4 linked regions of the Saccharomyces cerevisiae S288C genome follow. The protein of the gene in region 4 purifies or fractionates together with the protein of the main gene of each other region. This does not show direct contact. Each region holds a gene or a part of one and is shown on either strand. Other genes may lie near its edges. The genes, in order: LEA1, HSH49, RDS3 and RSE1.

The links.
Region 1: the proteins of RSE1 (region 4) and LEA1 purify together in Saccharomyces cerevisiae (affinity purification with mass spectrometry; 5 studies listed by BioGRID). This does not show direct contact.
Region 2: the proteins of RSE1 (region 4) and HSH49 purify together in Saccharomyces cerevisiae (affinity purification with mass spectrometry; 6 studies listed by BioGRID). This does not show direct contact.
Region 3: the proteins of RSE1 (region 4) and RDS3 purify together in Saccharomyces cerevisiae (affinity purification with mass spectrometry; 5 studies listed by BioGRID). This does not show direct contact.

Annotation. Positions count from the first base shown.
Region 1 is NC_001148.4:149,073-151,901, reverse strand, and holds LEA1 (U2 snRNP complex subunit LEA1), read right to left. Parts: upstream 1,289-2,829; coding exon 572-1,288; downstream 1-571. Other genes in the region: pseudouridine synthase PUS1, read left to right, coding at 1-387; THI6 (bifunctional hydroxyethylthiazole kinase/thiamine-phosphate diphosphorylase), read left to right, coding at 1,711-2,829. UniProt on the Saccharomyces cerevisiae protein: Involved in pre-mRNA splicing. Associates to U2 snRNA in a MSL1 dependent manner and is required for normal accumulation of U2 snRNA. Required for the spliceosome assembly and the efficient addition of U2 snRNP onto the pre-mRNA.
Region 2 is NC_001147.6:911,117-913,963, forward strand, and holds HSH49 (U2 snRNP complex subunit HSH49), read left to right. Parts: upstream 1-1,705; coding exon 1,706-2,347; downstream 2,348-2,847. Other genes in the region: long-chain fatty acid-CoA ligase FAA1, read left to right, coding at 1-329; GNT1 (glucose N-acetyltransferase), read right to left, coding at 2,503-2,847. UniProt on the Saccharomyces cerevisiae protein: Possible SF3b-like factor.
Region 3 is NC_001148.4:718,582-721,460, reverse strand, and holds RDS3 (U2 snRNP complex subunit RDS3), read right to left. Parts: upstream 825-2,879; coding exon 501-824; downstream 1-500. Other genes in the region: Arf family guanine nucleotide exchange factor SYT1, read left to right, coding at 1-424; ubiquitin-protein ligase ASR1, read left to right, coding at 1,037-1,903. UniProt on the Saccharomyces cerevisiae protein: Required for pre-mRNA splicing. Involved in regulation of drug sensitivity and may play a role in multidrug resistance.
Region 4 is NC_001145.3:173,654-179,841, forward strand, and holds RSE1 (U2 snRNP complex subunit RSE1), read right to left. Parts: upstream 4,653-6,188; coding exon 567-4,652; downstream 1-566. Other genes in the region: AIM32 (Aim32p), read left to right, coding at 1-421; GSF2 (Gsf2p), read left to right, coding at 4,773-5,984. UniProt on the Saccharomyces cerevisiae protein: Involved in G2/M transition. Required for pre-mRNA splicing and endoplasmic reticulum (ER) to Golgi secretion pathway. U2 snRNPs associated protein required for the pre-spliceosome assembly.

The sequences.
Region 1 (2,829 bases), on a different chromosome or scaffold from region 4:
TTTGGTTACAAGGCGATCGATTTTTCCAAATATCAAGACGAAGTGGATAAGTTCAAAATGAAGCATATCTACGATAAGATCTACAAGGAAGAGGTGGACGAAAATGTTTTTAATGCGTTCTTTAGTTATATTGATAGTTTCAACAAGGTTACTGGAGCACAGGGAGAAGAAACTGCCGATAAATCGGGACCTGCTGTGCAAAAGAGTATCTTCGAATTCTTGACAGCTAAGGGTATCCCAGGTCTTACTGATGCGCCCGAGAGCAATAAGAAGATTAAGCAAAGAAAAAGAATGGAAGAGGAGGAAGCTGCTAGTAAAAAGGCTGAAATATCCAGCACCACTCAGAGCAACGAACCTGAAGTACAACCGGAAGCGGCAGCTAATTAGGTTGCCCTTTCCTTCTTTCTTACCAACTTTAATTTCTAAGGCATTGACATTGAAATTGACATTGTCCTCTAATGTTTATAGAGCACCATTATTTGTTTTCGTTTTATATATTATTATATAATGGCACAGAATAATTTATAATTCTTTTTTTTTAAGTCATTGAACAGTCGCACTAACCAAAAGATTAAACACCACCAGAGAGTAGTTTTTCCAGCCTGGCAATCTCTTCTAAAGAAGTAGCTTCTGCTAACTGCTTTTTCAATTCATTTCTTCTCTCTACTGTCATCTTACTCACCACCAAATTCATGATCTCCATCGTTTTATCTCTGGATCCATTATCTCTTATTGCAGTATTTACTGGGCCCAACGTATCGCCGTCCGCCTGCCTTGGAAAGCTCATTGCGCTCTTTCTTTCCTCAGCTGTTACGTTTTGAAAGTCTAAAGTCTCTAAATGCGGTACTAATCGAAGTACATGTTCTCTATAATTGGCTAAATGACATACTTGATTCCCTATTAAAGTTAGATTCTTCAACGTCCTGGGCGCTCTACGCAACCTTTGAAGATCTTCAAACCTTCTTATGCTGTTATTCGATAATGTAAGGTTCTGTACATTCATAGGCAATAGGCGACCGTCTACTTCAACGATATTGTTTCGGCCCAACAGTAATGTATGTATATCGTCTCTTCTTGATAGATCTGGAATCATGATAAGGTCATTGTTTGTCAAATCCAAGATGTGCGTAGGTTTGGTCAAATGCTTTAAGCTGGATGGCATGGATTCTGAATCCGTTTCTAGCTGCAGGTCTCTTAAAATAACACATTTATCCACGTTATACTTGCCATTAAAATGATCAACATAATATTGCGGAGCATCAATAACTATGCTAGGGGTGAACTTCATTATTGCTTATAAAAACTGATATTTTCCAAGTCCTGTAGTTTCACTTCGACCTGTTGAAGGCTTGTTGGATGCAGAGTATGCGATTGGCCTAATATAAGTAAATGTCATCTATGATAAGAAAAAGACTAATAGGGCTTTTTCCTATAATTAACTAGGGTCTGTCGAAAATCAACTTTGAAAACCAGGAACAAAAAAAAGATAGATAAGGTTTATTTCACTCTTTTAGGGCAACATAATTTATGCATATTATAGGAAAAAGGCAATCGTAAGAACCTATTTAGCAGGTGTAACAAAATCAATACTACATATATTTATAGCGGCAACGCATCCATTTACTTGTGGAAGCGCCTAGTTTTCGATCTAACCATGGTTCTCAAGACCAAATCACTCTGAAGCTAAATTATTTAAATCAAACAGCGGAAATGGTATTTACTAAGGAAGAAGTTGATTACTCATTATATCTGGTTACAGATTCTACCATGCTTCCACCGGGAACTACTTTATGTTCTCAGGTTGAAGCTGGGTTGAAAAATGGTGTAACGCTAGTTCAAATCCGTGAAAAGGATATTGAAACAAAAAATTTCGTTGCAGAGGCTTTAGAAGTTCAAAAAATATGTAAGAAGTACAATGTTCCACTTATTATCAATGACCGTATAGACGTCGCTATGGCAATTGACGCCGATGGGGTTCATGTGGGCCAGGACGATATGCCAATCCCAATGGTAAGAAAACTTTTGGGCCCTTCTAAAATTCTTGGATGGAGTGTTGGTAAACCTTCGGAGGTAGAGACATTGGCTAAATGGGGGCCAGATATGGTAGATTATATTGGTGTTGGTACTCTTTTCCCTACATCAACAAAGAAAAATCCTAAGAAATCACCCATGGGTCCTCAAGGCGCCATTGCCATTTTGGATGCTTTGGAGGAATTTAAAGCTACATGGTGTAGAACCGTTGGTATTGGTGGTCTTCATCCTGACAATATTCAACGTGTGCTTTGTCAATGTGTTGCTTCAAATGGAAAGAGATCGTTGGATGGTATCTCTCTAGTCAGCGATATTATGGCCGCTCCAGATGCATGTGCAGCAACCAAGAGGTTGAGAGGCTTGTTAGATGCTACCAGATACCAATTTGTTGAGTGCGAGTTAAATAATACATTTCCGACCACAACTTCAATTCAAAACGTTATATCTCAAGTATCAAACAATCGTCCATTAGTGCAACATATCACCAATAAGGTTCATCAAAATTTTGGTGCCAATGTCACTCTAGCTTTAGGCTCATCTCCTATCATGTCTGAAATTGAAAGTGAAGTATCTGAACTAGCAAGAATCCCAAATGCTTCTTTACTGTTAAATACCGGATCAGTGGCACCTATTGAAATGCTAAAAGCCGCAATTAATGCTTATAATGAAGTAAATAGACCCATCACCTTTGACCCGGTCGGGTACAGCGCCACTGAAACAAGGCTCTGTCTAAACAACACTTTGCTCACTTACGGCCAATTTGCTTGTATAAAGGGCAATTGCAGTGAAATACTGTCT
Region 2 (2,847 bases), on a different chromosome or scaffold from region 4:
AGACTAAGCCAGTTGGTATTATTGTACCAAATCATGCTCCATTAACGAAGCTTGCTAAAAAGTTGGGAATTATGGAACAAAAAGACAGTTCAATTAATATCGAAAATTATTTGGAGGATGCAAAATTGATTAAAGCTGTTTATTCTGATCTTTTGAAGACAGGTAAAGACCAAGGTTTGGTTGGCATTGAATTACTAGCAGGCATAGTGTTCTTTGACGGCGAATGGACTCCACAAAACGGTTTTGTTACGTCCGCTCAGAAATTGAAAAGAAAAGACATTTTGAATGCTGTCAAAGATAAAGTTGACGCCGTTTATAGTTCGTCTTAATGGATCAACATTTCCATGATAGGAAAGCCTCATCATACTAAAGCACTTTTTCAGTTTTTTGCTTTAGAACTGCTACCAATTATAAAATAGAATGCACAGGTTATCTTGTTTGGTTTGTTATTATCCTTTTTTCTTCTTTACCAGTCATATCACCTCATTCACGTATGTTCGTAATTTATAATGTTAAAAATGGCATATATAGATATATTTATGAACATCCTAAAAAATAACTAAATTTTTCTACATTTCAAAAAAGGTAACGTTGACTGCCGCATGGCAGTCTAATTAGGAGCTTAGTGATACATATATATATATATATAAATTTCGGCCAAGACACCTCACATAAGAAGCATTACCAGAGGTGTCCTGATCTGAGATGGACCCTGTCTCATTTGTTGAGTTGACAAAATATCAGGGAAATTGATTACCCTGGTGTGCACTGACTCCTTAGTACTCATTTTCACAGCTTCGTACACATCATGGAAGACAAACCATAGCAACCAGCCGCTCTCATTCAATCTCGCATAGACTGGAAGAAGAAGCTCCAGAAGCATATCCATTCCTTGCAAAACGTTCGTTTCTGCGTGCCTGTCTTCTCCACTTTTGTCTCGGTCAGCCAACAGGCACGTGGTGGGTGTGCCTGGAGATTAGAAATTGTAGTTCCTCAGATTATGTAAATTTTCTCAACAAATTTACTAGGACAAAGAAATGACGTAGTAAGAGTACTAAGTATCAAGATTGTTGAGGTGTTCCGTTGTTAGTACTTTTTTACGAGCACGCGAAGTTGACACATTGTGTCTGGCAGATGGGAACTAATTTACTAATCAATTTGCAGCAGTACGCTATCATGTGATGAAATATATTCCCGTTGGATTAACCATAGTCTAATAGACAGTAATATCGAGGACTCAGGGACTACGCCATTTATTTACTTGGAATAATTTGCCTGCCCATTCAATAAAATTATGAAAATTGTGACGTTCATACACATGCTGATGAAATGAGTATTTCTTTTAGTTGAAAATCCAACAAATTCCTCATTAACGCCGTTTTCCCACTTCTATTTACTGGCTTTTCTTTCAAAACGAGGGGATTTATTCTTGGCGTTGTTGAAATTTTCACATTTCCAGAAGATTTATTCGGCGTTTATTTTTCTAATCCAGATTTAACAAAGAGAACAAAATCCCACTCGTTACCCTGCCTTGAATTGTCAGATGGCCTTATTTATTTATTTGTTACCCGCAGATGTGGATATAAGACGGAAATGGATAGTAAAGCTAAAACGACTCTTCAAGCAGAAATTACCGAGATGAGGTAAAAATGAATGGGCAAAATAGCTAGCCAAGAACAGCGCAATCATTCTAAGATTAACATTGATGAACTACAGCGCAGACTCTGGTAATACAGTTTATGTGGGGAATATAGATCCAAGGATAACGAAAGAACAACTTTATGAACTCTTCATTCAGATCAACCCTGTTTTAAGGATTAAGTATCCGAAAGATAAAGTTCTACAAGCTTACCAAGGCTACGCATTCATCGAATTTTATAATCAAGGAGATGCTCAATATGCAATAAAAATAATGAATAATACCGTTAGATTATACGACCGACTGATAAAGGTTCGTCAAGTAACCAATTCTACAGGAACAACTAATTTACCTTCAAATATTTCTAAGGACATGATTCTACCTATTGCTAAGTTGTTCATAAAAAACCTTGCAGATTCGATAGATAGCGACCAATTAGTGAAAATTTTCAATAAATTTGGTAAGCTCATAAGGGAACCCGAAATTTTCTACCTATCAAACGGAAAATTAAAGTGTGCTTATGTTTATTTTGAGGACTTTGAAAAAGCAGATTTGGCAATAAAATCTTTGAACAATCAGTTAGTCGCCAACAACAGAATTACTGTTGATTATGCCTTCAAAGAAAATGGAAAAGGTAACGCAAAATACGGTGATGACGTTGACAGGCTGTTGAATAAAGAAGCATTAAAGCACAACATGTTGAAATAAGATCCCGCTCTCACCTAGTACATACCTTACCCGTTAGAAAATGCGATAACGGACACAATCTTGGCAGAAACATTATCAATACTATGATATATATATATGCGTTTCCGACTATACTAATTTTTACACTTTTTGAAAATTTTCACTTCTCCTCATAATCAAACGAGGCAGATTTCCCTGGACTGTATGTAAGAAGCGTACACCGAGTTCCAAAGGTCACAAGCTTGGTGCTCTAGCTTTGAATCCTCCGCGTCTTCTTCTTTAACGATACATTCAAACTCCTTCATTGATGGATAATTCCAGGGCTTGGCCAATGGATAATCCGAAAAATGTATGTACTTAGAATATGCGACACTGTCGTTTAATCCTACCGGAATATCGTTGCCATCATTATCCAATGTCTTATAACCCAAAACGTCATTATAGATTATAGAATAGTGCCGTGGGTTTCTCAATGAACCCGTCAGTAAGCCGTACCTTGCAAATGGCAAAACCAATACTTC
Region 3 (2,879 bases), on a different chromosome or scaffold from region 4:
TATTTGTAATAAGAGAAAGCTTACCATTTTGCAGAGGATGGAAAGACTTAGGTCTATAAAATCAGCCAAATGGGAGAAATTGAAAAAATTTGAAAGCACTCTGATGCTTATGGGAAAATGTGTTCCTATTAGCACAAAGACTAAGACAGATATGATAAACCGCATAAGACAGCTGGCTGTCAGAATGGACTGGTTAATCTACGAAATTAAGAGAAGCGAGCTGTTTGTAAGTATCATAAAAGAAGTGACTCGCAAGCAGGCTGAAAAGAATATCTTAGAGCATGGTAAAGGAGAAGAGGAGGGGCAAGGCAATAACGACGATAGTGATGGTATAGATGATATAGAGGAAAGCTTCTTATTCAACGAGAACAGTTTGCAAGTGTGCGTGAGCGACAGTAGTTACGACGAATATAGTAACGAATAAGGGGAAGAAAATAGTACCATGGGTTATAAATGCATGTTATTTATTTATATATTTTTACATATTCTATATGTATGTGTTATACCTTTTTCTTTTTCTCGAAATGTCTATCCAGTCTATTGCTGCCAAGGTTTAAGATCCTAGGACAGCCATCTTTATCTTTACCTAAGCGGCAGCACTCCCAACAATAGAATGCGTCATTGACTCCAACATTTAGATTACAAATTATACAATTTTTAGCTTGTTTACCAAACGAACAGTTTTCACATACTCTAACTTTCCTTTTGGGCCTTACATAAGAGTCGCAGATAGGACATTTGCCATCACATTTTTCACAAAGAAGACCTGTCTGTACACCAGGCTGCTTTAGGCACATTATTAGATCAAACTGATGGCGGGACATGTTTTTTTTGTTGGAGGCTTGTATGTGTGTGGATCTTTTTTGTATCCATCTTCATTTTCTATGTTGAATGCCTTAGTAAGTGAGAAATATGGCAAGTAATGCATATATGGAAGAACAGAAAGTGAGAAAAAAAAATAGAAAAAAAGATGCAAGGAGTTGAGCCAAGGGAGAGACCATACCCTCAGCCAAATATCCAAATATCATATAAAAAGATGGAAGAGTGTCCTATTTGTTTGGCAGATGACCAAGAGGGTGAACAATTTGGATGTTTGAACGTTTGCGGGCATAAATTCCACTTAAACTGTATAAGAGAGTGGCACAAGTATAGTATCAACTTGAAGTGCCCCATCTGCAGGGTTGAATCCACCCATTTAGAAGTTGGCGAAGGGCAACATGCACTTTCTATAAATTTGAAGATGGGGTTTATGATTAAGAATGCTATCGATTATGTGGGGGCCGAAACAACTAACGAAAGAAATGAGGACGATACAGGGGAGCAAGACCAAGAAATAGAATTTCTCAGCGAAAGGCTTAGAGGTACGCTGGTGATGGATACCATTAAGATAATTCAGTGCAGCATATGCGGAGACACAGATGTTTCTCGATTAAGCCTGTATTGCCAAGACTGCGAAGCAATATATCACGAAACATGTCTACGCGGGCTAGCTTGTGAGGTGGGCGATCGCAATACGTGGCAGGAGTGCACAGATTGTAGATCAAATGCATTGCTCGAGCTGCGCATGGGTGCTATCAGTAGCCAACTTGCTAGCTACGATTCCAGGAATTCCATGATTTTTGCTGGTGAGTTACGGGACAAGCACAGCGTCAAGACACAGCAGATGTATGAACAGATACGGAATGCCAAGCACAAAATCCAGATGCACGTGCGACGAGCACTGGACCGGTACCCACTGCCTCTGCTGCGCTTCAAGGATGCCTACAAGCACGTCAACAAGCAAGTATCCCGCAAGTTGTACCGTCTCTCTGACAACAAGTACCTGCCTGACCAGTACGATTACGACTCTTTAGCCCGAACTGGAGTGCACACAGAACTCCTAATTTACTGTCATGATGAGTAGTAATGCAATATAACATTAAAACAAGATATAAACAGTATAATACTCTAGTATGAGCCCTAAAAAAAACCCTCAGAAGCGGGTGACCCATCTCTCGTACGACGTATAAAAGCACAAGTTTGACCCATAGAATTTTTTTTTCACATCTTCCTTTGTTTGCTTCTTCGTCTTCAATAGAAAACAGTTGAACAAACTCAAATATAGCACCATTGTGAGTGCTACTGCACTACAAAGAGGCAGATTAAGCGACCAGTAGGTCCCTTGGAAGAGATAATATATGAGTTCCTTTTTTCTTTTTCCATTTTCTTTCTGTGTGACTCCCCTATGATTAAAAATTATTAATCATATACCAATTGTTCCGACTGAATAGTGGTTTAACTACATGTCGACAACCCTTTTTCGTTAAGTTTCAGCCTTGTATGAGGGGTGCCACGGAAGGGAAGAAAAGAAAGCATTTATCTTTCATTATTATCTTTTTCATGCCTGCAATGGAATTTTTAATTTTCCTTTTGATATGATGATTTGTTGTCGACCGGGCGGACATATTAGTATCTGTTAAAGGGTCGCCGTCTACTCTCATCGTTCTTTTGTGTACAAATTTTTTAAAGGAGCGATGTTGATGGCATTATGGTTCTTTAGTGGAGAATTGATGATTGGTCACAAGACATCTGATTTTTTCGGAAATTTGTTTCTTATTTCAATTTATTCCTTATCAGTTGATTTGGATGATAAAAGAGACTGTTGCGGACTAGTTTATTATGATGATTTTTTTATATTCACACTGTACTAGATTGGTCTCTTTAACGAAGGGGCTAATTGATGACTACAAAATAAAAAATAACTGATTTAATGACTCTGAAAAACTAGTTCTACAACCTAACTAATCTTGCACCCTATGTAGCCCTTTAAATAACTCTTGGTTCTCTTCCCTTTAGATCTTTCATTTTTGCACCTAATTGGTATGGCACATTTTTCAGTT
Region 4 (6,188 bases):
GCTATCCTTCCAGGATTATTTAAGCGGTAAGGCCAAGGCTTCCCAACAGGTTCATGAAGTGCATCATAGAAAGCTTACAAGGTTTCAGGGTGAAACTTTTCTAAGAGATTGGAACTTAGTCTGTGGGCATTATAAGAGAGATGCTAAGTGTGGAGAAATGGGACCCGACATAATTGCAGCATTTCAAGATGAAAAGCTTTTTCCTGAGAATAATCTAGCCTTAATTTCTCATATTGGGGGTCATATTTTTGCTGGTAATGTCATTTTCTATAAACTATTCGGCAGAGAAAAGATGCAAAACAAGCTGGATTCATTATGGTTTGGTAAAGTTTACCCACACAACTTGAAGCTGTTATGTGAAAACTTGGAAAACGGTAAAATCATCGACGAAATGTACAGAGGTGGCATATCGATGAATTAAAACGGTTTCCTTTTAAAACAGAAATAAAGATGAGGTGAAATTTTATATTTCTTATATTTAAAGCTATCATATATTCCTTGTACATATATTTATTAAGAAAATACATTAACACGCCTTTATACTTGGTATTATTACTGTAAAATCATTACATGTAATTTGTTCTGACTTCGTTGATTGTTTGAATTATATCCTCCACTTGTACACTCTTTAAATTTTTGGCCAAAAATTCCTGCTCATTCAAGGAAAGTCTCAGGAAATTTTCACATAAATCACCATCAATAACTTTACGTACAGGGGCATAATAGCTTCTGTATTCTTGGTGGTCTCTACCTAAAATGGAACAGGAACCCTCACATATTATTTCATCCTCTATACCATGCCGTCCTTGTAACACAACACTTCCAGATTCCTCTTCATCGTCTTCCTTACGCATATTGTTATTCTTCTTTCTTGATTCATAATCTAAATAAAACGTATCATCCGCCTCAGCCATTATATTCTCAATGTTTCCCATCATAAAAACATTCCCCTTGGATAATAAGGGGATAAAGCATCCCACGGTTCCTTGTAAGCCCATATAGATACAACCAGGTCTATCAGAATTTGAAAGGCTGTCCAGGATATGGAAATCAGTGATGATATCATTAACAAAGAAGTGGTTCAGTAGTTGAAACTTGAACTTGCAATCATAAGTATTGGGTAATTTCTGCTGTAAAGTGATGACGTCTAGTGGGTACTTGATGGCCCCATTAGATAATTCGCTGGGATCATGATTTGACATGATTTTTTCGCACTCTGGTGGAGACCTTAAAGTCCACGCATTTCCATATCTATCAGCGCCTATAACAGTTGCCTCATCTAGAAATTTCAATACCGTCACATGGCGTTTTACAGAGTCATCTACGTACGGAATAAATACATTCCCCGCAGGATCCCAGATAAATAAAGTGACAGATTCATGTATATCACCAACGGCCAGTCTTTCATAATTCCACTGGTGCATAGACACAATTTTTGTTATGGATACCGGGGTCTGTGTTACGGACCTTCTTAATAATTGCTTTTTCCCCAAACCATAAAGGACAATAGTGGAGCCCATGGCTGTCAGCAAGAAGTTTTTAAACTTCAACATAGCATGTATTGGTGAAATGATTTCTGTTTGGTGAAGTAATTCAATATCAAAAGATAGTTTATCTTTGTTAACTAATATCTTGTATGTTAACAGCCTTTTGTCGCCAGCACAAATGATCAAATGATCAGCTTGTCTTGTGAAATCTATTATAGCAGCGGAAACGCAATCGATATCGTCCAGTATCTTGTATAAATGATCCGAACTGCCAAACTTTAAGCATTCACCATCAATTTGCAGTGATATACGGCATTGTTTCTTACCACTGTGATTATCAATAAACAAAATGCTTTTCGGATTATTGGGAAATGATAAAATAGTACGAGGTCGGAATGTAGATATTTGTAACATTTCCATTTCTTCTTCCATTTCATCTTCTTCCTCTTCATTGCTTTCATCTCCTCCACCGTTCTCTTGCTTGTTAACACTTGATTCATGAACGTGAAACCAGTTATCCAAAGTTGGAAAGTTGGAAACTCTGCCAATATTTAAGCGTCCTGAGCTCGATATTGAACAAACACCGTTGATTGCAACATCTGCGTTAACAAATTTGGAACAACTTAGCATGTTTTGATCCTTTAACTGCCGTATGGTCCACACATTTTTCCACGTGTAGCTTACCCATGTAGAAGAGGAATGGCAAACCACGCATGACATCCATTTAGCTCCACTACTATTTATTTCTTCTTCTTCTTTTTCATCATCATCGTCTTCTTCTTCTTCTTCTTCTTCCTCATTATTTAGTGATACAGATATCTCACGCAAATACGAAAGGGAAACAGGCTTCAAGCCAAGGAATCGCCTTTTTATGTCAGTGAACGATCCGTCAACATCCCCTATATGAAATTTCATGTAAACGCCATTTTCTAAACCTACATGCAAATTAAGCTGTCCTATTGAGGAATCTCTAACCATTATCATGTCAGAAATCTTTTCACTAACTAATTGCAAACTTATTACAGTTAAAAAATCTTCCTTTTGGTCTTTAAGAGACATTATTTTGATCATACCCTCATTGTCAGCAATGGCTAATAAATCAGCATGCTGCGTATCTTGCACAATCGCAACTTTAGAGGGCATTGTGTCCAATTCTGGGTGGGTGGTTAATTCGATTAACGAATCCGAAGATACATCTATCTTGAAATAAACCAATTCGTAATTTGATAATGATATAATTAGTTGTGTTTTCGAGGACGTGGCACATACAATACGAATTCCCGCTGGTGGCACCCAAGTCAGCTTATTAGAATACCTAGATTTACCAGTCGGTACGATATGTCTTAGTTCTGCGGTGCATACTTGGATAATAGAGTGTGAGCCCATTAGGCATGTATGAATTGTTGTGTCCTGAGAGAGCTTGAAAGCTGAACGCGTTGCTTCATCCGGTGTTAGTTCCTCCATGGACTCGTTGTCAATTTGTAGTATCATAGTTTTCTTGGGAAAAGTTATGAACAAAAGAGTATTGTTATCGCCGGTTGTTGCAGGATCGGGTATTAGCCATAACTTGGTTGCGTTCGGGGGTAAACTAGTAGATATCAAATTAGAGTAATTCACAGCATTTGTTAAAGTTATTATCTTGTTGTTTGTAAAATGTTTAGTGGCGATAGACAGTGGCGAATCACTGACAATTTGAGATTTTATTGAAGGGTTCAAATTCAATTGTTGCGATAATATGCTCAAATTCTGCAACTTTATGGATGGTTCGAAAACTAGCGACTTATTTGGATCTTTTGAGGTTAAAACATTAGAAAAATCATTTTTCTCTACACCAAGTTTCTCAAACTGGAAAAGAAAGTTGTTATTCATTTCAGATAGTGCAAAAAGATAACCGTTTTTGAAAATGTGTAATTGGTGTGAATTTTGGATTGTATCAAAGTAGGACAATTGAACTAAAGGTCTATTTCTATCATTAGTGTCTGGACTTACAGTTAACTTAAAAAGATCGCCATGGTTAGATTGTAAAAGTACGAAAAAATCATTTTTCAATTTCTGCACTATGCCTGATATGATTGTTACATTTTTATGACGGCTATTTGTGATAGATCTTTTGGGTATTTCCACTTTCAGGCTGAAAAATCCGTTCATATCCTTTACCAGAATATGATTTTCGAAGCCTATGACAACAAAAGGGTTGAAAAGGGTATCATAGTCAGCATCATAGTTGTTGTCGCTTAGCGAAGTTGTTATATTATATCGCGATAGATCTGGCAAACTCAGTACGAAATTGGCAGATGGGTTAACTAAATAATCTGCCTTCTTGACGATGTGATTCAAACCCAACTCGAGGACATAAAATATCAAGTGTACTGATAGTTGAGTAGCGGCATTGTCGATTTCTAAGGTAACAAAACATGGATTATTGAAATTTACATCAACAACTGCCATATCCAGCGTTACCATATGGGGTCTGATGATTTCCAATGGAGACGAAATCCTCAATTTTTGAGCATAATCAACGAGGAAACACAATTTATTTTGTTCGACAGATGAGAGAATGATACAACGCCCATTAGGGTCAATTTCCATGTATGATATGGGAGAGACTCTTCGAAGGGTGGTCCTCGTCAATGGCTGGTTCACTAAAGTCTTAAGTCTAAGAGCACCTGCATGCATAATGATTTGCACGATACTTAGGTTACCAGAATCGGAAGTTAGCGCTAGAAAAGTGGGCCAGTTGGAAGCTTTTGCCCTTGACCCTGAATGCGGCAGATCCAGCGACTTCATCGAGGTTATCGTCGCAAACAGGTTTTGAAACTTGGCAATAAGCTTTAGTTCCCCATCTGCAGTATCATAAAGTTCTAAATGCGTCTCAGTAGCTACGCACAATTGCGACTGCTCACGCTTGGACCCTGCTTCCAGATCGACGAAGTGTCCGATGCAGGAGTGCACGAAATTCGTCTGTTTCTTTAAAGTAAGATGGTACAAGTATAGCTCATCATCTTTAGCAACCATTGTTATGTTATGGTCACTCCTTGTTCTTCTTTCAGCCTCTCGTTTTAAACCGTCATAAGCCATCGTTGTGCTAGCTTGCCCAAATAGTTTACGCATCTTCGCCGTGTGGGGCGACAAGCTTACTACTGCCATTTTGCCACCTCCCCACATTTAATGATGGAAAATATTATAAAAAAGCGAGAAAAGAAGCTAATGGTGCCATTGTTTTCCTTTTTAGAGAGGGGCAGCAGAGATCGGTGGACTTTGTTTTGATAGAGGGCGATTGCAAGCATGGAGATTTACATTAGACTTAACGCAGATGTCGAGCACGACTATGCGTTTCAGGTGTCAAATGAAGACACCATAAATAACAAAATTAAGAAGATTTTCCCTTCCAAGACGGGTTTGGCGGACTTAATGGTGCTGAGACCATCAATTTTCCATGAGAAGGAGCCCGTAAAGTTCTATAAGTCTATCCATCCAGGGTACCTGTCCGAAGGTGGTTGTTTGATGTTCCATTATGAAGCTGATAACGAAGAAAATCTCGAGGAGTTGAATGACTCCAAGCCGCTTATTGACCAGTTGTGGCCTGGTCAGCTAGTTGTTCCGGAGTGGAAGCTATCCAAGAAAAACATATGGGTATACACCATTATTATGTTGGCCTGGCTATATACCGATTTGCCCGACGCCATTTCTCCAACCCCAGGTATTTGTTTGACTAATCAATTGTCTAGACTATTGATTCCTGTAGCCAAGCACATGGATTTACCTGAAATTGCCGCTAAACTCGAACAAGAAGTTCAGGCAAACTATTCTAGTCTCGTAGCTCAATGGCTTTTCTTTGTCATGCACATTTTCAAAGTGGGCATAATTACTTTATTCCTCAAATTAGGCATTGCCAACCCCATCAGCTTCAATCCTTACAAGTTATGGAGTTTGAGAGATTTAACTTCTCCTTCTGCTAACGGCGCTAAGAATTCTGGCGGCAATAACAACACTACTGACTTAAAGACACGTTTGCGCTCTCTGGGCTGGATTGGTGCTAAGAGAGCTACTTACGACGATTACCAGACTAACTATTACAACTATGTCATAGATAAGATGGGTGGTGCAGTTGCTGCTTATAGAGCGGGCGCGATTAGGAAAGCTGCAGCACCAGGTATCCAACTTGTGGCTGGAGAGGGTTTCCAAAGTCCTCTAGAAGATAGGTTCACTGCTTCCACTTTCACGGCTATTAAAACCGAACGGAAATTCATTTTAAGTGAAGAATACTTTGTGGAGCTGGAAAACAATCTAAAGAAGATCTTGGAAGAGTATGACGGGGATATTGGTAAGATGAATGCTGAAATTAGGAGGTTTAGAAGGTTTGGTATTTATGAACCAGATGAAAAACTGGCCTCGCTAGTTAAGCTCAGAAGAGAAATTGCTGATGAGAAAGAGAAAGCATCAAACAATGATGCTACTTTTGGTATAAAAAAGAATGATTTGAAAAAATCTAATTAATTGTAAAACCAAAACACTACCATCCAGACTTTTTTTTTATTCAACCATAGCCTTTAACTACTACTACTACTACTAGTACTACTACTATTACTATTACTATTACTACTACTAGAGGGCCTTTTTTTACTCCTAGTATTTTTGTACTATCCTATTTACTCTCGTTGTTTTTATTAGTTTTTTCACTCTTTTTTTCAATTCCTCACG